3 linked regions of the Schizosaccharomyces pombe genome follow. The protein of the gene in region 3 interacts with the protein of the main gene of each other region in a pairwise test. Each region holds a gene or a part of one and is shown on either strand. Other genes may lie near its edges.

What was found.
Region 1: the proteins of atg20 (region 3) and atg24 interact in a two-hybrid assay, tested with the Schizosaccharomyces pombe proteins (one study listed by BioGRID).
Region 2: the proteins of atg20 (region 3) and atg2402 interact in a two-hybrid assay, tested with the Schizosaccharomyces pombe proteins (2 studies listed by BioGRID).

The regions. Positions count from the first base shown.
Region 1 is NC_003424.3:2,752,536-2,758,659, reverse strand, and holds atg24 (autophagy associated protein Atg24), read right to left. Parts: upstream 4,138-6,124; 5' UTR 3,893-4,137; coding exon 3,761-3,892; exon of another isoform or gene 3,693-3,760; coding exon 3,557-3,692; exon of another isoform or gene 3,469-3,556; coding exon 2,531-3,468; 3' UTR 2,280-2,530; downstream 1-2,279. Other genes in the region: SPOM_SPAC6F6.13C (uncharacterized protein), read left to right, coding at 1-2,162; SPOM_SPAC6F6.11C (pyridoxine-pyridoxal-pyridoxamine kinase), read left to right, coding at 5,854-5,886, 5,929-6,037, 6,085-6,124. UniProt on the Schizosaccharomyces pombe protein: Sorting nexin, involved in the separation or division of vacuoles throughout the entire life cycle of the cells.
Region 2 is NC_003423.3:2,153,291-2,159,210, forward strand, and holds atg2402 (autophagy associated protein), read left to right. Parts: upstream 1-1,787; 5' UTR 1,788-1,982; coding exon 1,983-3,155; 3' UTR 3,156-3,641; downstream 3,642-5,920. Other genes in the region: ubiquitin ligase complex subunit Npl4, read right to left, coding at 1-854, 917-997, 1,043-1,045; ppp16 (acylpeptide hydrolase), read left to right, coding at 4,335-5,920.
Region 3 is NC_003421.2:881,348-889,836, reverse strand, and holds atg20 (sorting nexin Atg20), read right to left. Parts: upstream 6,466-8,489; 5' UTR 6,446-6,465; coding exon 6,302-6,445; intron 6,244-6,301; coding exon 6,135-6,243; intron 6,016-6,134; coding exon 4,664-6,015; 3' UTR 4,149-4,663; downstream 1-4,148. Other genes in the region: ubiquitin hydrolase Ubp1, read left to right, coding at 1-400; mrpl31 (mitochondrial 54S ribosomal protein mL60), read right to left, coding at 632-979; oca8 (cytochrome b5), read left to right, coding at 1,450-1,597, 2,104-2,195, 2,282-2,431; TIM23 translocase complex subunit Tim23, read left to right, coding at 3,104-3,736; ubiquinone-binding protein Coq10, read right to left, coding at 8,177-8,489. UniProt on the Schizosaccharomyces pombe protein: Required for cytoplasm to vacuole transport (Cvt), pexophagy and mitophagy. Also involved in endoplasmic reticulum-specific autophagic process and is essential for the survival of cells subjected to severe ER stress.

The DNA of each region.
Region 1 (6,124 bases), on a different chromosome or scaffold from region 3:
GCAATTGGCAACCAATGGAAGTTATATCGTTGGAACCAACCCATTTAATCAATGATATCGATGATGATAATGAAATAATAGAAGAAAAGAAAGAAACTGAAAAAGTTGAAGAGAGTGAGCTTGAACCTCGCTACACCCGAGTTTTTCGTGATGAAGACGACGATCAAAAGCATCAGTTAGACAGTGAAGCCATTAAATTATTAGACATTGCTGATCATGGCAACGAAGAAATTAGCATGGATAGTCAATTGGAAATCACTGGCAACATACTCTCTGAAACCGAGAAAATGGCATACGCTGGCGTATGTCGGCTTTTAATTTTAAAAATGGTTGATAAAATTGCATGTTTTACAACTTTGCCATGGTATCGAGGTGAATGTAAGGCCGCATTAGAAGACACCATTATGTGGGCTGACAAAACCACTTCATGCATATATGAACATCTCGGCGTCACAGTAGAGGAACAGAAGATGATAGAAAATCTTCACAAACATTCAGTCCAAATAGATGACTTGTCCAAGATTTTAGTTTCTGCCCATAGAGCTCAAACAGTCAGTAGCCTTGATGCAGTGCTTGTTGACGAAGTTGAGTCCAGCGATAGTCTAAGTAGCCTAGGGAAAGAGAAACCGGTACAAATTGATGTTCGTTGGACTGTGTTGTGTGATCTTTTTCTGGTCCTCATTTCTAAATCGCTTTACGATTGTCGGTCACGTTCTCTACTTATGGCTGTTGGCGAGGTTCTTGACATTAATGAGTTTGATGTTGCAAAGTTTGAAAAACATATTGTTGAAACAATTCAGATTGACGATACCGGCGAATTAGAAGCCGGCTCAAGTGCAAACACTGAAGCGGTCATGAAATTGCGGCGTAAAGTATCAAGGCGTAAAAAGTATATACTAATGGGCCTAGCAGGTATCGGAGGCGGCCTAGTGATCGGTCTCTCTTCTGGATTACTGGCTCCTATTATTAGTGCAGGCATTGGAGCTGCTTTCACCACTGTTGGCTTATCTGGAGTTGCTACGTCTGGTTTTTTAGCCGGGGGTGGTAGTGCTGCTTTAATTACTGCTGGCGGTGCAATTTCAGGAGCTCATATTGGTACAACTGGCATGGCTCATCGAAAAGCCGATGTTAAAACTTTTGAATTTAGACCGCTACATGCACAGAGACGAGCCAATGTCATCGTCACCGTTTCCGGTTGGATGTTAAGTAAAGAAGATGATGTCCGTCTTTCTTTTGCTACACTTGATCCTATCGTGGGTGATATTTATTCTGTTTTTTGGGAGCCCGAAATGCTTGCTTCTGCTGGTCAGACTATGAACATTTTGGCAACAGAAGTGGTTACACAGTCTCTTCAACAGGTATTGGGATCCACCGTCTTAGTTTCTCTAATGGGTGCCTTACAGTGGCCCTTGATATTAACGAAGCTAGGATATCTAATTGACAATCCGTGGAATAATTCTTTAGACCGTGCTAAGGCTACCGGTCAGCTTTTAGCCGATATGCTATGTTATCGGTCCCTTGGCGTCCGCCCAGTCACCTTAGTTGGTTATTCTTTGGGGGCTCGTGTTATTTACTATTGTTTGCGAGAATTAGAGAAAAAAAAAGAGTTTAGCATCATTGAAAATGTATATTTGTTCGGCACCCCTGTTATTTTTAAACGTACTTCTTGGCTTAAAGCTGCATCTGTCGTTTCTGGAAGGTTTGTCAATGGTTACAAAAAGAATGATTGGATCCTTGGCTATCTTTTTCGAGCCACTTCTGGTGGCATTGGGCGAGTTGCGGGTTTGCGTCAAATAGATTGTATTCCGGGGATAGAAAACATCGATGTTACTAATCTTGTCTCGGGACATTTGGCTTATAGAGAATCAATGCCAATTTTATTAGCTGCTGTTGGATTTGAAGTTCTCGATGAAGAAGTGGATTTGGTTTCAGAACCTATTCCCGAACCCTTGAGAGAACGACAATCTCAATTGTTGTATGAAATAGAAGCAGAAGAATGTCAAAATAAGCAAAAGGAGTTGATTGAAAAGTCATTAATGCAAAAAGGCCGCAGTTTGTCTCCTAAAAAATCAAATGCTTTTTTTGATAGCAAGAAAATAAGGGAGGAACTTAAGAAGGTTAAGAAAAAGTACGGATCCTCATTCAATAGTAGATGGTATTAAGATGTTTGAGTGCTATTATCGTGCAAGAATTACCATTAATATGTTTCTAATTTTTTACTATTTGCAATACCGGTTTTTTCATTTTTACGATTCTTATACCCCACTGTTTGTTTTTTCTCTAATTTATTCAATTCATTTTTTATTTTATTTCTTTTCTAATAATAATCATAATAAACTTACAAACAAATACAGACAAAAAAAGTTTCCCGATTATGAAATTGTTGATGATAAAAAAAGTAATCAGCGAAGTCATGCACAATCATTATCATTAATAAATATTTAGAAATTAAAAAAGAAAAGCAGGTCAATGATTCATTAATCGAGACATGATCAAAACAACATATGCTGTGGGGCTTGAGTAAAGTAACCTATTGCTTAACACGTATCCAAAGGTCGCGAATATTTGTAAAAAACTCTACATGAACATTAGCGTAATCGGAAATAGCACTAAGCATCTCGCTTTGACGAACGGAATCAAAAAGCTTAGATTCTTCTCGAACCCTTTGGTTGAAAGCGTCATGAACGGCAGATGCTTCTTGAATAGCTTGCTCAACTGCCTGCAATTCCGATTGTACATGTTCTAAGCGCTTTAATCTAGTATCGTTGTGATCGATACCACGCAAGTCGTCCAGAGTTTTGGATAAACTGAAACCATTAGAGCCGCCAGAAGATATTTTGTCGCGCTCTAAAGAAAGCTTTGCAGAATACTCTTGAAGTGCCTCGACATCCTGCTGTTTTTGATCGCGGCGCTTCAAGAGTTCTTTCAAGGAATGAGCGTAAGATTCAACGTCTTTAATTGTATCCAACAATAAAGTTAATTTTTCTGTAAGATTAGCATACTCTGTGCCAGTTTGTTGCAATGCATTCTGAATGGATTCAATAGGCACATCTAAAGCTTGATCCAAGGATGCCAATCGATCAAACTGAATCGAAACATCCTCATAATCAGATTCTAGAGCCTTCTCTAAACGTAAAAGCTTTTGAATGGATCCTTCCAAATTAGATATTCCAAACATAAACTGTTGCACATGGTCGCGTTGGATATCAAACTCAGTGGGTTCTTCCTTCAGCTTGGAAAACGCATTTAGCAAGGAATCCGAGATTTCGTCCAACTTCGATGTGTTATTCAATTTCGGCTGAATAAAGAATCGAACATAATTATTCCAATTTGGATTTTCTAAAAATGCAATGAAATGAGGCGATTGGTGCAGCACAGGATGAAGAGCACAACGTGTAATATAACGATTCAACAGCTTGGCTCTTCGATTTATGAAATTATCTGAAAACCGACCTCCTTTGATGTATTCTACAAAAAGTGTTAGTGACGAATCATTGAAAAGTCAAAGACATCGGAATCACTGCACTAACGAGTTTCTATTTAATTGCACGCATACCAAGTTTATGTTTAGCGGGAAGAGGAGGGACTACACAATCCTCATTCATTCGTGATAATATTTCTTGAAGCTTCACAAAATCAGAAAAACGACGACGAACCTTGCATTCCGCACGTGTGAAAATCGAAAGATTGGTCTAGTAACATAGAGTAAGCACATTTCCAAAAAATAATTCATCAGTTACTTTTCAAAAATAAGACTTACCTTAGTGATGATTAGATAAGATACATGAGTGTCTCGAGATCCCTGTAGCTCCTTTCTAGGTTCTGTAACTAAACATTGTAGAAAGTGAGTACTATTAGTTGAAGGTTCGTCCAAATTCACAGAATCAGACATGGGATGCTTAAGGATACTTCACAAGTATGATGGAATCAAATAAAAGGCTTAGTACGCCACTTCCAAAGAAGACGAATGTAAAAAATGCAATACGAAGGAAACAATACTAAATCTCAGTCGGTTTTCAGATGAATAAAATACGATTCAATCAAAAATTATTCTAGATGTTTGTAAGTGAATTTAAGTGTGAAATGACTTGAAATAATGATGTGTGTGTATGTGTGCTGGAGAGTTGTTAAGATGTTAGGTGGATTACTGGAATGTGATGGTTAGGTATGAGTACATACACATGATTGTTACTACATTAACTCAACTGGGATTTTTATGCTTCAAAAGGTTTTCCGAAAGATTTATGACAAATTTAGATTAGATTTTTAAAAAAGTTCTGTTCTTCGTACGAAACTGTTATTAGCAACAGTCTACTTTAGATTTACATGATGGTTAAAAAAATCACATTCAGAAAGTCGTCCATTTGCTGTTTCCTAAAGAATCAGCATATAATATAAATATCATTTTTAAATGAGGGTCTGATGGTAATCCAGAAAGCTTTACACATTTAAATAGTACTAGTAAGAAATGCAATTCCCTATTTCAAATTCTGTAGTCATATCGATTTTAGGCTGAAAGTTGAAAAAGAAGAGATTGCCGAACATTTCTTATGAGGAAGGATTTGTACTTTCTTTTTCGACAAAAGATGAGGTTCATATAGTTTAAAGCGTATATGTAGGATTGGGACAATTTTAATGAGCAAGCAACCATCCTTAGGCTTAATAAATTACCTTTCTACGTAAATTGTAGCCCATATCCTCAAAGTTACGAGCTTAGCAAGTCAAACTAACAATCAACCAACGTTGTTTTCCCACTGTACCTTATTTAGCATTCTTCCTAGGTATGTGAAGTACTTGAAAACAAATTGAGGAATGTTAAAATAAAGGAAAGCATACTTATTCAGGCTCTAAGCTTTACAATTAAAAGCCCTATTTTACCCCGTATATTTCAGCCGAAGATTTCTGTAAAAGTTTAAATGAGTGATTAAGTTATACAATTCCATGTATTTCGAGTCGTTGTATTCCGTATAATGCTTACATCTTGTCACTGTTGAATTTATTACTTTTTTGGATAAATTGATTCAAAAGAATGTGCTTCATAATTAGTTTTGTCGCAAAAAATTAAGTTGATTATCCTTTTTATTAAATTCCCTTAAAAGACGAAGCTACATACATATTTCTTCACATTCAATTTCATGTTTGTATGTTCCAAAATAAAATAAATCCAATATAATGGAGAAATAGTTTGCGATAACTTCTTAGCTTTGAAAGGATGATGCAAAAAGACGTAAACAAAATCGACCTTTCAGTCATTTCTAGGAAAATTAGCGCGAAATTTACGCCTTAAATTAAACAAATTTTTCTGGAATAGCTTTTAAAATAATAAAACAATTATTTGAAAGTTTTGCTCTGCTGTAGTGTTTCATAAGTGGATATCCAATAAATCCGATAAATACTCGTTTCATAAAGAGAAATTTGAAACATCTCTTTAAGTAAGCTTCACATGATTTTTCAAAGAGAAATTTAAAGGTCATGCATGAGAAACATTGAATTTCTTTTTTATGAGATAAAAAGTCGGAAAACTTTTGAGAACATACTGTTCGAGAAGACCGTTTTGAGGAAGTAAAAAAAAAGGAAAATCGTTACTTGTAGGGGTAGAAATTGTAGCTTATGCTTTTCCTTAATTTGAAGAGTATTTAGTAAGTTATTCCAATATATGTTTTAGGCAGCATTCAGAAAATAACAGTAGTCAATTTATCTCTTCTTAAAAGAATAAGTCTGTTTATATTTGTTTAAAACTCAGGTAACTATTCGTTTTTCGACAACGCTCAATATCATATATCGCTATCATCTATTATACAAAAGCATGCTTATCCAGTTCTACGCCTTGAGGATAACCCAATACCATATAGGATGAATACAACAAAGCGTATTTTAGCGATTCAGGTTGAAAAAATATAATTTTCTTTGAAACTAACAACATTATAGTCTTCTGTTTGTCATGGATATGTAGGAAATCGTGCTGCTACATTTCCACTTCAGCTTTTAGGTTGGGACGTAGATGCAATTCCAACTGTAGAGCTTTCAAATCATGCAGGTAAATTATTTAATTTCTTATTTTATATTTTATTAACGTATTTCAAGGGTATCCCATTGTTAAAGGAAGGACCTTAAGCGCAGAACA
Region 2 (5,920 bases), on a different chromosome or scaffold from region 3:
TCTACAAGGGCTTCATCGGCCCATTCCTCTAATGTAACGCCGTCAGCCTCCGAAACCTGAGGGGGTTCGTATATAGCTTCAATCACTCCCTTAATTCCTAAAGGAACGTTATTGTATTGTTCGAAATGTCCATACGTATAACCAATCCTTTGAAAACCGGATTGACGCCATTTATTGAGAAACGAATCGACAATGCCGGGAGAAGCAAATTCAATATGATCAATAACACGAAATGGTTGGAGATTGAGCATTACAGTTGATGGTTGGCATTTGGTACAAATCCCAGCGGGCCAAGGAGGATGACCAGAAGGACACTTTTCTTTCACTGTAAAACTAGGCTCCTCAAGAGGAGGAATAAACGATTGAGAGCTAGCATATTTATTCACATTAGAGTTTATTTTTCTCAAATAAGCATGAAAGGAAAGGTGCTTGATTTTATTTTCTTGTCGATAGGATTCATCATACGGTTCTAAAGGCGAGCAATAGTCGCACATTCCTTTAGGGCCGTGCCGACATAAAGAGGTCATGGAACGACGTATCAAGCCATCTTCTTTTTCTAAAGAATCATCAATGGGATCTTGAATGACAGGCATAGAAGGTTTTTTTTCTGAAACATCAGGTGTGGAAACCTGCTTTGGGGCACCAGTTACAGTGAGAGCAGGTTCATTGTTTGATGAAGCAATATCACTATTTGGTGTACCAAGTCTTAAGTAAAGCATTTGACCGTGAGTCAATCCAGCATCTTGAAGAGTTTGATCATTCAGGTTGGAAAAAATGACACCCTGGTCAGATTCATTCTGGCAAAGAGAAACATTTTCGGGAGAGTAGTCGTTTTTAAGTATATCAGACAAAATCTGATTTGTTAGATAACCATTCGTTTTGAAATATTTCAATAATTTTGCAGGAAATTACGTACCTTTGCAGACAGCATAGCCAAAGTATCAGTTGGCTGAAATTCTGCACGGGCCATCCCCCGTTTGCTGCGAAAGCGCAAAATCTTTAAACTGTTAGTAACAATATTTAAAACGATTGCTTTGCATACCATTTCGAAGCAAGAGTAAAGGTGAAGGATGAGCAAACTAAGCTTACGACTATGTAAGCTATTAAAATAGGTGAAGTGCAGCTTCGTTACATTTTTGAAAAATTCGTTAATAACAATAACGATTGAACAGACGCCGTAGTGTATATCTATATATGTATTACTTTAGGTCGTAATTCTCAAATAACGTAACAAAATTTTCAAAGAACTATCACAGGTATAACGAAAAATACACAATATGTCGGTTTAAAGTTGAAATATAGTTTTTAAATATCTAGTGTTGGTATGATTTAAATCCGACTAATAATTTAGATAATTGAATCTGCTAGAATTTACATTTGGTCAATTCCACTTGCTGAGTAGATGGTATTAATTTTCGGAATTGCGCACAGCTTGAAAATATGCATCCAATAGAAAGCATATCTATTGCATATTTTCAAAGAAATTTATTTTAAGCTAATTTAATTCGAATCAAAGCTGCATTTATTTTTTTTACAGGAAAAATGTAACTATGTTAAAGCTTGAAGCTCAATAATTTTATGCATTTCTGTTTGTTTATCATGGCTCACGATTGTAAGCATTACGATATGAAAAGTTGTAGATTTCAATTCTCTCAATTGATAATTGTTTATTAAATTCCTTTTCCTTAACAAGTTTATCAATATTGCTACCGTTTTGCGTGATTCTTCTCTAATATCTTTGCTAATTGAACGCTTGACATAGCTTGTGCTCCAATGGATCTTTACGTAGTCAGCACCAACTACAAAATTCTGTGGAAATAGCAATTGCAAAAATATCTGAAGAATTTTGTAGTTACATTCATTGTTATTTGTTTAAAAAAAATCTTAATTGCTTTGTAAAGAACTTCGAATCAGCTGTATTATCTTGTACTTTAAAAATATTGGGTCGCAAGATTACCAATCTCTTTCATGACATGTAAGCAATGCTGAAATGTACAATTAAAAATGAGCAAATCGAAACTTTAAGAAGCGGAGATACATTCGTCTCTTATGAAATTGAGACTGAATCGGATCTGCCAGTTTTTGAAGATAAAAAGTTCTCTGTTCGTCGGAGATATAAGGATTTTGAGATGCTTCATAATATTTTGAGCCATGATTATAATGGTTATGCAATCCCTCCGCTACCGAGAAAATATACTGTTAGTTCTTTCTCTGGTGGTTCATTATCTCCCATATTCATTGCTCGTCGAATGCAATCCCTCCAAACGTTTCTGGATCGATGCTCCACACACCCTGTAATTTCCAATTCTATGCATATGTATCAATTTTTGGAAAATAACTCTTGGAAATCTTATTATCATAACGCGTGGATGCAATCCGAAAACACTAAGTCCAAGGGCAATAACGTATCCGGAGGAATTGAATCATCAATTCAAAACTTAGACCCGTATGCTCAAAGCTTGTATGAAACAGCAAAACAGCTTCTCCAAAATGCGGATACGGATCTCTCAAAGTTGGAGAAAACCTGTGTTCAATACATGAATAGTGTTCAAAATTTTCCTACTGATATTCCTGTCCCTTCTAATTTAAGCATCAGTAACCTCGATGTTGTCTCTGTAGAATTTAAAAGACTAAAGAGAAACAGCATTTTTTTAATAAACTCTTTTCATTCTAAGGTAATTACATCTATTCAAGATTTGGAAGATTACATGGTGGTTTTTAAGAGTTTGATCAAATCTCGTGAACAAAAGGTGAAGCAATTTGAACATTTCCAACAAATCGTTCAATCTAACTCTAATAACCCTGATCAATCATCACGATCTGACCCAAACTTTGTAGAAGCCACTCCCGTTGTGCAGCAGACACCTGAGCTTAAACCGTCGCCCAACACTACTATACGTACCTCGAGTTTATTCAGTATTCCAAAATTTTTTAAAAAAAAGCGGTACTCATTAGGTCAAGACGATGCTAATCCCATGGAGTTGCTTCAATTATCGTTTCAAGAATTATGCATTTTCAACGAAAAACTTGAGCAAGAGTTAAATTTTCTACGCGAACGTATCGATGTTGAAATGCGTAAGACATTACAAATGGTTTGCGATTGTCATGTGGAATATTTTTCTGGTATTCTTGAGCAGCATGCCGTGAAGGAATAATAGTTCCTCGTTATTAACCTACTACTGTATAGAGGCTTTTGAGTTTTTAAGTAAGTGTTTTATAACTTGGCGTATGATGCTTTAACGTTTGTTTTACAATGTGTGATGTTTACGATATTTTTTATGCGACTTGAACTAATATTAATGAAAATTTACGAATCTGAGATTAATTTATTACTTTTTTATGCAGTCGAAAACATGACTTATTAATTTTCGTTAAATTTGCTCATGTTCTCAAATTAAAGTACAAGGAATGCAAAAATGTAATGACATTTCTATAATTCTTAGACAACTTTAAACTTCCCAACGTGGAATTGTTTCTTTCTTTGCTAAAGGAATGGATGATGTCTCCTTCGTACTTACTTCTTTCTGTTGTGCATAGATTTTATTTTGTTCTGAGCTTTAAAAAAATATAGCTCAGTAAAGAGGGATTATCAACAGTATAGGTTTTGTACTAACAATAAAATCTTCTGTGCCTTTTTTTAAGTATATGCATTTCCCTGTTCTGCTTTAATTTTATAAGATTATAGTCATCTCCGTCCGAAGGATGACAGTGATTTATATCTCAAACTATGCTTCTCAAACATGATTGATCTATATAATAATACAAGTAATTTCAATTGAGTGGTTTGAATTTTGCATTTTTGATGAGGACTTCACACACTACAATACTTTTTAGAAATAACTGATGGGTTCATTAAAGTTCTTCAATTCTCATTATTCGGTAGAAGTTGAAGATCTGTAAAATTTTTATAAGACTATAAAATGATGTCTATTTAAACAAATATTATCAGAGATTTACCATAACTGACATTAATAGGATAAAGATTATAAGTTAGCAGATATTCACTATGACTATTTGCCCAATAACATGTTTTGTTGAGATGTCTTGGTATTTCAAGTTAAATATACTGATGAAAATTGTTTTAGAAATATTCAATAATAAAGAAATTGTTATTATTGTAACATGAATTTAAACCATCACCTATCAGTACAAACGCAGCCCAACGCTTTACAAAGGGCTGCACGCTAACACTATGCTGGGAGTTTATAAAGTCATCATATATAATCATATCTTCGTCAGATGGGTTGGTAATCTTTGCAAGATAAATTTCCTTTCCCCTTCATGCAAATTCCTTAGAATTCACCTCACTCTGGTCAAAGAATATATTTTTTTGGATGCATAGTCTTTTCAAGCAGCTAGTTTTTTTCCTGGTAATGACGCTAACTGCAGCTGACAAGGCTGCATTTGATGCGGAATCCATGCTAGAAGCTCCTAGAAGGTCAGCAGTAGTTAGCAATCCTTTAGGGAATCTTGGAATATTTATAGAATCGAATTATTCCTTTGCTGATCACAAATATAACTCTGGAATTTACCTTTTGAATGAAAGCACTAGAAACCATCAAGAGCTTTTAGTACACGGCAAATCAAACAAAGCGCTCACATGGATTACTGATTCAGCTTTTTTATATGCAAGAGAAGATAATTCTAGCTCATCGAGTATCCTTCTTTTTGACGTTAACAATCGATCAGAGCGTATCATATATAATCATAACTCTTCAATATCTGATATAAGGATCGGAGAAAAGAACAACCACTATAGAATCGTTTTTAGTTCAGTGGATAATTCGTTAGTTAAGGGACCTTCAAATGTTCACGTATACGATCACTTGTTTGTTCGACACTGGGATAGATGGAACACAGGATCTAGGAATACCCTTTATTTTATAGAGCTAGATAAAAAAACGGAAAACTCAAATTATTTTGAAATTTCCTCAGAAAAAGCTATTGATTTGTTGAAGGAAACTGGCTTGGAATCTCCTGTCGAACCCTTCGGAGGTCTTTCTGACTTTGATTCTAACTACGACAAACTTGTCTTTGTAGCAAAAGACCCGAAATTAAATCCGGCAACACAAACAAAGACAGTTGTTTACGAGATTAATCTGAACACTCGGAATCTGAAGTCATTGAGCACTGCGAAGGGTGCATGCTCTTCACCAAGACTAGCCAAAGATGGAAATCATATTGCATGGCTTGAAATGCAAACACCACAGTACGAAAGCGATCAAAATCAAATAATGGTATATGAGTCCGAGTCAGGCGCTAAAAAGCACATTGCTCGTCATTGGGACCGATCGCCTTCCAGCATTGAATGGGGGGTTTTCAAAGGAGGCGAACCAGGTCTTTTTGCTATTGCTGAGAATTATGGGAAGCAAATTTTGTTTTTTGTTTCTATATTTCACCACCAAGTTATCCCAATGACAGAAGAACACTCTGTTTCTTCTATTAGTGTCCCTAAATCTTCTTCCTTATGGCTTACGAAGTCATCTTTAATCAATCCCCCTTATTACGCAAAGATTAACGTTGAAACGTTAAACGAAAGTGTTTTACTCGAGAACAATGTCGGATTATCGCCAACTTCTTATGAAGAAATTTGGTTTCCTGGCACTCATGGTCACAGAATTCATGCATGGATTGTAAAGCCCGAAAGTTTTGATAAATCTAAAAAATATCCTGTAGCAGTGCTTATACACGGGGGACCTCAAGGTTCTTGGACAGATAGTTGGTCAACGCGCTGGAATCCTGCAGTTTTTGCTAATGCTGGTTTTATTGTATTTGCTCTTGATCCTACTGGATCTACAGGTTATGGACAACGTTTTACCGATTCCATTGCTCTTGATTGGGGTGGTAAGCCATATAAAGATATTGAACTTGGTGTTGAGTACATAAAAAATCATCTTTCCTATGCTGATTCTGAAAAAAT
Region 3 (8,489 bases):
GGCATTTCGACCGGCAACAAAACGGCTGGAGATCTGGCGATTGCCAAAAATACTAGTCATTCATTTAAATCGATTCAGCGGCCACGGTGGAGATTTGCGGAGAAGACGTAAACGAAGGGATTTAGTAGTTTATCCAGTATTTGATCTCAATTTGAAGCAATTTTTGAGTCCATTTATAAAAGATCATGAGTGGCTATCGTCACAGAAATCGATGCTTTACGATTTGTATGCAGTGGACAATCATCACGGGTTTATGAGTAATGGTCATTATACTGCCTATGCAAGAGATGCATCGAGCCAAACATTCTTTAAGTTTGATGATACAGCTATTTGTGAAATAGATCCGGAGGATATTGTCACATCGTCTGCTTATGTATTGTTTTACAGAGCAAAGAATTAAAGAGACGTATAATAGAGGTGATATGAACTTTACTCTAACTAAAGGCTAATGTCGTTTGTTTGAATATGTATGAAACTGGAAATTGAATATGAACGAAGACGAGGAAGAGGTGGGAGTTTTTGCAATAAAAAAGTAATAAAATAAGCTATTAAAATAATCCATTACATTTATTATTCATAGAGCATTAAAATTATGAAAAAAAAAGTAGTAAACTTTTGCAACCAGACGTTTTTAAAAGCCAGTGGGATTAACACGATTAGTACTACGGGTCCATTTTGGTGATTTATGGACACCCTTGCGGAAGCCTTGGAGACCGGCACCTTGAGTCTTCCTGGTAAACATAGTGTATTTATCCTTTGGTGACATTTGGGATTCAGGCTGATGGTTAGCAACGAAACTTTCAATTCGTTTGCACGATTGATTTTTCTCTTGCAACGCCGTGCGCAAAACATCTACCACCTCATCGACGGCACGAAGTCGTTGACGGTGACGATATTTTCTTCGCTGGGATAATCTCCAAGGTACTTTATGAACAAGACCGCCAAAGCGAGCCAAAGTCGAGTTAAATGCACCCAGCATATTTTTCGTATAAAATCAAAAGGAGAGGAAGAAGGTTGGATCAAAAAGAGCAAATAAAAATTTTTTGTTAAGTTTTTGGGTGATAGACAAATTCTGAGTAGTTGATGGTTTGTCACAAAGTAGTTTACGGCTCCAACGAAACAGCAAAGATGTGAACAAAAATTAACTTGATTAGCGTCCTAAATTGATTTAAATATTATATTGCCATTCAAATATAAACACTACACCTCCAAAATGGTGGAGTTGGTTAACTGAAGAATGATATAGGTTTTGGGTAAGTTCATATCCTTGGGTGTACCTTCCAACTCGAATCCACGTGACCACCTGCCAGTAAGAATCGGCTCATTTCTACTTCCCACCTGCTAGATAAATCGCGATAGGGCATTTGCAACCAACATCTCGAGAGTAATTAGCTCCTGGGTTATAACCGTTAAATACCACCTTTAAGGAAGAATAAGCAGAACTTGATCATGGCAGAGAAGACAATTACTGTTGAAGAAGTGTTAAAACATAACACTCGTGATGATTTGTACATTGTTGTAAAAGACAAGGTGTATGATATTTCCAAGTTCCTTGACGCTCACCCTGGTGGTGAAGAGGTTCTTGTTGATTTGGCCGGTAAGTAAATTTTTAGGGGTACGCGATAATGGAGGTCTTGAGGAAGATTGGTTGTAATGCATAAAAATTGGTCGCGATTGTGTGGAGTCGTAGAAATCGAAGTTTCAGACAACTAGCGTTACAAAACTTTGAATTTCACGAGAGTTTAGGTGTCGCATATACACATGTTCTTTAATTTGAAAGATTCAGGACGAATCTTTGCCGTAGGAACGTACAAAAATAGATGCGATATCCTGAATAAATACGATGTTTAATGCGACATTGTCATTGAAGGTGAATTGTTAAGTACAGTCTATATGTTCCAAGATTGATCGCTCTCTACTCGATGTTTTGTATTTCCAGTACTCTGAATACACTGAAATACATAATTTTGGAAAGATTGATTGACGATATCGCTTCGATTCTTCACATACGGCTTTTGGATTGGCTATACAAAGTTTCTGCCTTTCTCTACCATCGCTAGGGGCTTTTTTTTGTTCGTTTCTGTGATTATTAACTTGTTTTAGGTCGTGATGCTAGCGGTCCTTTCGAGGATGTTGGTCACTCTGAGGATGCTCAGGAGTTGCTCGAAAAATTTTACATTGGAAACTTGCTCAGAGTATGTCATTTATTTTTTCTCTTCGTTCGCCATAGGCTCGTTAAAATTTTTGTAAAAATTTGCTTCGACACTCTAACATATTTTAGACTGAAGATGGCCCTCAGCTTCCCACAACTGGTGCTGCCGCTGGTGGAAGTGGATATGATTCTTCTCAACCAGTTAAGCCTGCTATGTGGCTCTTTGTCCTTGTGATGGTTGTTGCTTACTTTGCTTTTCGCAAGTATGTCCTCAAATAGACTGCTTAAATTCCCAGTCTTACTTTTGCGCTCAAAGAAATTTAAAGGCCTTCTTTCGTTTTGGGTCGTTTAAATGTGCTGAATATGGTTTTGTGATTTTGAGCTAGCAAGTTTCGTTTTTTGTTGTTGTTAGATATCTACTTTAGCTTTCTTTACCTGTTCGTACTTAGGATATTTACGGATTCAATGTATTCCTTTAACACGCTTTGGTTTGGCTCTTAATGTGAATGGCATATTAATATTAATAGAGACCTTTGATTTGTCTGGACGTAAATTTAATTCACAACGGTCTTATGCTTGCTTTGCGTAACTGTATAATTGATAATACTTAGTGTTATATTTTTTGTATTTTCGTTGTTTGTTCTCTCATAAAAAAAAGTTTTATAGTTTCTTCTATTCTATTGTTTTATCGATGGACCTATGCCCAACTTGTCTAGAATTTTAAGCGGTGATCGAGTAAATAAGTTCGGGCGTTATTTAACGATCGAGGATTTATTCATTAAGTCTTTTTTTTTATATATAAATGTAAATTCATGATAATTGCGACACTTTTTACGTCTCAACAATTTTTTTCTACTATTTTAATTTAGGTGCTAATACACAGTTCCTGTAACCACCGCTACCTGCAGACAACCACCATCGCGCCTTTGCGAAAAATCAACTTTTTAAGATATGTCTTGGTTGTTTACAAGAAATAAAGAAGAGGAACCAACCTCAAAGATTGATTCTTCTGAATTGCAGGTCCCTACCGAGGCTACAGCCTCAGATATTTTATCGGGTTCTGAATTCGATCCCGCCAAGTTACATCCCCTCGCTGATTTAGATAAACCTCTGGATTACTTATTGATTGAGGAAGATGCTCTTTCTACTCTTCCAGGCGATAGCATGGCTATCCCATCTCGCGGATGGCAAGATGATCTTTGTTACGGTACTGGAACTTCTTATTTAAGTGGATTGGCGATTGGTGGACTCTGGGGTCTCAATGAAGGCATGAAGAAAACTAAAGATATTACTTCCACACGGTTGCGCCTTAATGGTATTTTGAACGGTGTTACACGACGTGGTCCTTTCGTTGGTAATTCCTTGGGTGTGCTTGCCCTCGTGTATAATGGAATCAATTCTTTAATAGGCTACAAGCGCCAAAAGCATGGATGGGAAAATAGTGTTGCAGCTGGTGCATTGACAGGTGCTCTTTACAAATCTACTCGTGGACTTCGTGCTATGGCTATTAGTAGTTCGCTTGTAGCCACTGCAGCTGGCATTTGGACCCTTGCAAAGCGTTCTTTCACTAAGCGACTTAATTAAAAAATTCTTTTGTAACTTTTGGTTATAAAATTTGTACGATAATGTGAGTTAGGTGTTCCTTTTATGACACTCATTTTCTCTCACTCTTGTGCGGACCCTTTTTTCCCTAATTTGTAAATCCGACAATGGATTTATGTCTTTTGGTTTTATTCATCTCATTTATGTCGTTTGATTTTCCTAAAAATTCAATTCTATCAACACCCTTCTGTCAAAAAGAATTGACTGCGTTTCTTTTTCCTCGCATTTGTAATATCTCTGAATCCTTGATCCTACCTCCTTTTCGCAAAGGGAAGGAATAAAACTACTGAACAAACATACGGGTTCTTACATTTTGTTTTGTTGGAATCCTTTTATTTGAACAGTACATTCATATTTTGACATAAATATCACTTTTTTGTATCATTTTTATCCCACAGCTTTTTATTACATTGTATTTTTGTACGTGATCAATATGGAAAGAAGGTTAAAGTTCTTGTTAAGTAATTGTTTATTCAAGTAATTCGTAAAATGGCTCTATTCGAGCACACTTTAACTAACAAAAAAAGAGAAAAAGGGTAGAGAGAAAAATGAAAGGATTTAAACGATTTGTCGGTACATATTGATAAAAAGGTAAGAGGAGGAACAATGAATATTCACAAAGAAGAACAGCTTTCATTGTATGCTTTAGTATTATTAATATTTCTAAATCTATAATAGCATTAAATAAATTTTTCATTAATAAAATGTACTCGACCTTAAAAATTTATCCAAGCGATAGATCTTCCAAGGGAAATATGACTTTCATAGTTAAGGCTTGTCATGTGGTATTATTAGTCATTAACAAAATCGTAAAAAAGAAACATAAAAAAGGATGTATGCAGAAATTAAAATAAAATACAAAGTATGTAAGACTCGGAATGCAATTATAAGCAAACCTACCCAACGTACTTATATGTCCTTCGATAAATTTTCGAGTTCTTCACGAGTTCGCAACCATCGTTGTAAATTTGTTTGTGCCCATTTGTAGATACATTCATGAACAGATTTAATTATTTCTTCCCACTGCGACGTCTGACATTCTTTGTAGAATTTAAGCTCTGCATCCATGAATTCGTCAATTTTTTGACAATCCCAATTTGCAGCCGCTAGTTGATTCTCTATGGTATTCTTATGCTGCTGGAGACTTTCTTTGCTAATGGAGGTTTCACCTTCTACAAAGTCATGTAAAACGTTTTGTAAGCGACCAAAAATTGTGTAACCCTTTTTGGCTTGGGAGACAACTGCTCGTTGAATAGTATTCAATCTGGTCGCCGGGTGTATCGTGGGTGAAGCAGCTACCATAGAGTCGGTAGCAGACATTGTGTTAGAGTGGATGAGCTGGTCTTGAAGAAAATCTCGCTGTTGTATCTTCAATTGCTTATACTTAAGAGCATCTGCGGCACACTTCGCCAGCTGCATAGACTGAACCATTTTTTCATAGACGGAGGAATTAAATTCTTGTTCGAATTCCTTGGCGTACATTCCGCTGAATTCAAAGGCATTAGCAATCACTTGCAAATGATTTGCTAATTGTATTTCATTGAGAGCAGTCAAAGAGTGAAATGCCGATCCTAACTTTGAAAGGCAAGACTCCATTTTAGAAATACTAGATAAAGTTGAATGTATGGAAGGACTCAGACTATGATGAAGGAATTTCCGACAAACAATCACTTCTTGAGTATAGGAAGTCAAATCTTTGAGTACTGGAGAGGGTGCGTCTTTACCATTAGAAATGCTGGAACGACGCTGTGTGGGAGATAACTCCGAAGGTGAGCTATTGTAATGTGGAAAGTCTGGTGCCGTTGGGGTAGAAGGACTTTCATTCAATTCATGCGTAGGTTGCATATCGCTTGTTGGGGGATGACATTCATCCTCAGAGCCCAAAGGAGAAGAAGGTTCTAAACTCGAAGCAGTTGAAGGATTAGATAAGGAATGGATTGGCTTTAATGCGCGAGACGAAGGGGGACTTAATGAGTTGGCCATTACAAGTGGCATGGAAGAGCGCAAATGAGCGAATGGGTCATGCTCAGTAGCAATAGGAGGAAGGCGGAGTGGATCAGTATTTGAATCCTTTGGTAAATCTAAAGATGATAAAGTCACGTGCCAAGAAACAGTGCTATGAATAAACTTATCGAAAATAGGATTGGAACGAATGCATGGATGCAAAAGACACTGACGAAGAAACAATTCTAGCATCCTGGAGCGAAAATTTAAGAATTCAGCATCACTTTTAGCTTTTCGTGGATGTTTGGCATAACTTACTAAACAGCGGAGCATGTGTGTACAATGAATTGCACACAGCCCATGTTAATAAACGTTTGAAAAGAAAATGAAAAAACGCGATGAAAGATATTATATCTAAATATATTGGAAAACTTACAAAGTGATTGTTTTCCCGGTATAGGAGGAACAATTGCAGCGGGATACTGCCGACGCATCAACTTAACCAAGGACTCAAAATCCGAATATCTCCGCCAAACGGAACGCTTCTACAGTATAAAAATTAGCAGCTAAACTCATAGATACCAAGGATCTCAAGCCACATACCTGGTGTACAATTTCATACTCAACATACGAACCGTCCGAGGAAGTTACTGTACCGACGATCTGGATTTCAGTTGAATAACCACTTCCTCCCGAGTCGCTGGATATAACTTCAGGTTTCTCTTCGTAAGAATCGTCTTGTGCCATACTTCTTTAATCGATTTAATGGAGAAAGAAATGTAGCTAGTTCGTCATATAAGTCATGGCTTTGCAGACTGGATTGTATTTCGTTGTAATATGATAGAGATCGCAAATCAATATACTTATAACTACGTTATACTGTATATGAGAATGGATTAGATAGCGTTATACTGAATGCATTGTAAAATGGGTTTCCATAAGGTCAAAGAAACAATCAGAACTTTAAAATGACAGGGGAAACCTATGTATATAAAATACGAGATTTCGAAAAAAAAATAGATTTTGGTTTACGTGGAGAATTTCTTAGTACTATCACAGTAAACAAGTAATGCAGTTGTAGAGGAGATTTCTTTTTAAGGTTATGATAGCGGACAGTGATTATATTATCCAGTATATATTTCGAAACATCTTATCAAATCACTATAGTTTAATACCGATGGCTGTTGTAGCTATCGTTAACTGGATTCGTTTGGTTATATCGTGCGATGTAAACAATGCGGTATAAATAAGAGGTATATTATAATAAAACTTGTTTTCATCCTCGAAATGAACTAAATTAATAATTTATTTTCAATGATAAAAATTATTCTAATTTCACTATATAAAAATGCTCATGGATAATTTCCACAACTTCTAATGGACCTATGGAATGGTGATGCTATAGTTTATTTCACGAAAAAACAGCTAGAACTTTTAAGGCTCCATTCAGCAACTTTATATACTAAGTAAATCCTTATAAGTTAAAAGCGATAAAAGGATTTTACATAAAAACACTTTGCTTCATTTATTTACTGGAGAAATACTTCCCGTTAATGCAAATCGGCAAACACCGTATTTGCATATTGCACAGTTTAATAGAGCACGATATTAAAATGTTGGTAAACACAAGATTGTTTTTCATAAAATTCGTTTCTGTAGCTATAATGGAAATCATGTCATGTTTATCATCGAAAGAAAAGTCGACTATAAAGGTGCTCCGGGTATTTCATGAATTGTCTTACTTAAATGATTTTGCTTTCCCTAGATATATCTCAGTAGACCAAATTTGATAGACTTTTTAACAACGATCATCATAGATCACTTTTTCTTTCCTTCAGGGATTCTTTACTTTTAAATAACACTTGTGATTGTTCTGGATGCATTTTGAATGCAAATCTTCATGAAGCATTCCATAACCAATTTCACCTTCTATTCAAAAGCAAGGAAGGATAATTTTGTAAACAGTTGACCTTCAAGGACTCCTGATCTCTGGTTATCAACTTTAGAGGCAAAGCTCATCCGCAATATTTCAGCACTAAATAGAAAGAGAGACACCCCTATAATTATATATATTTGGTTATCAGTGACTCAAGAAAAGGAAGGCATATTCAAGACATATTGTTAAAACAAAAAAAAAAATACAGTTTCGTCAAAGTAAAGTTTCTTTAAGAAATGAGAATTCCTCCTAAGCTCTTGATTTAATAGTAGAGAAATAATTTACCAAGTTTTTTGTTGTGCATCAAAAAAATTGCAGTAAAGCAAACTATACCATGATATTGGCGAGTATCCAAAAAAATGAAATAAAATAAATACATAAGGTGAAGAGAAGGATCCAAAATTTAGCTTACTGAAGCCATGATTTCCTAAAAGAAACCTTTTATAAAAATATATCCTTCTTTGGTTGAAAGAGAGACGATGGAAAAACGCTGAGATGGAAAGAATAGCGGCATAGCCCCTTTGTATGCAGGATCATTGTAATTATTTCTCATTTTCTGATTCTAGCTTATGCTTTATTTTAGCCTGTTGGACGAATCCTTGAATGATTTCAGAAGCTACAGAAGATCCAACAAACTTGCTCATCATGCCATGGAGTTTGCTTGCAAATTCAAAATCCACCTCTAAATCAACACGAACACGTCCCCGAGATGCCTCTTCAATACTCCAATGTGTTTTAAGCCGCCGGAACAGACGATGATGGGACGCGTCTGCCAACACGGTTAGGGCAACAGGATCACAAACCACCTTACTATCAAAAGTTTCACACAATCCTTTAAAACCAACTGTAAGGTCG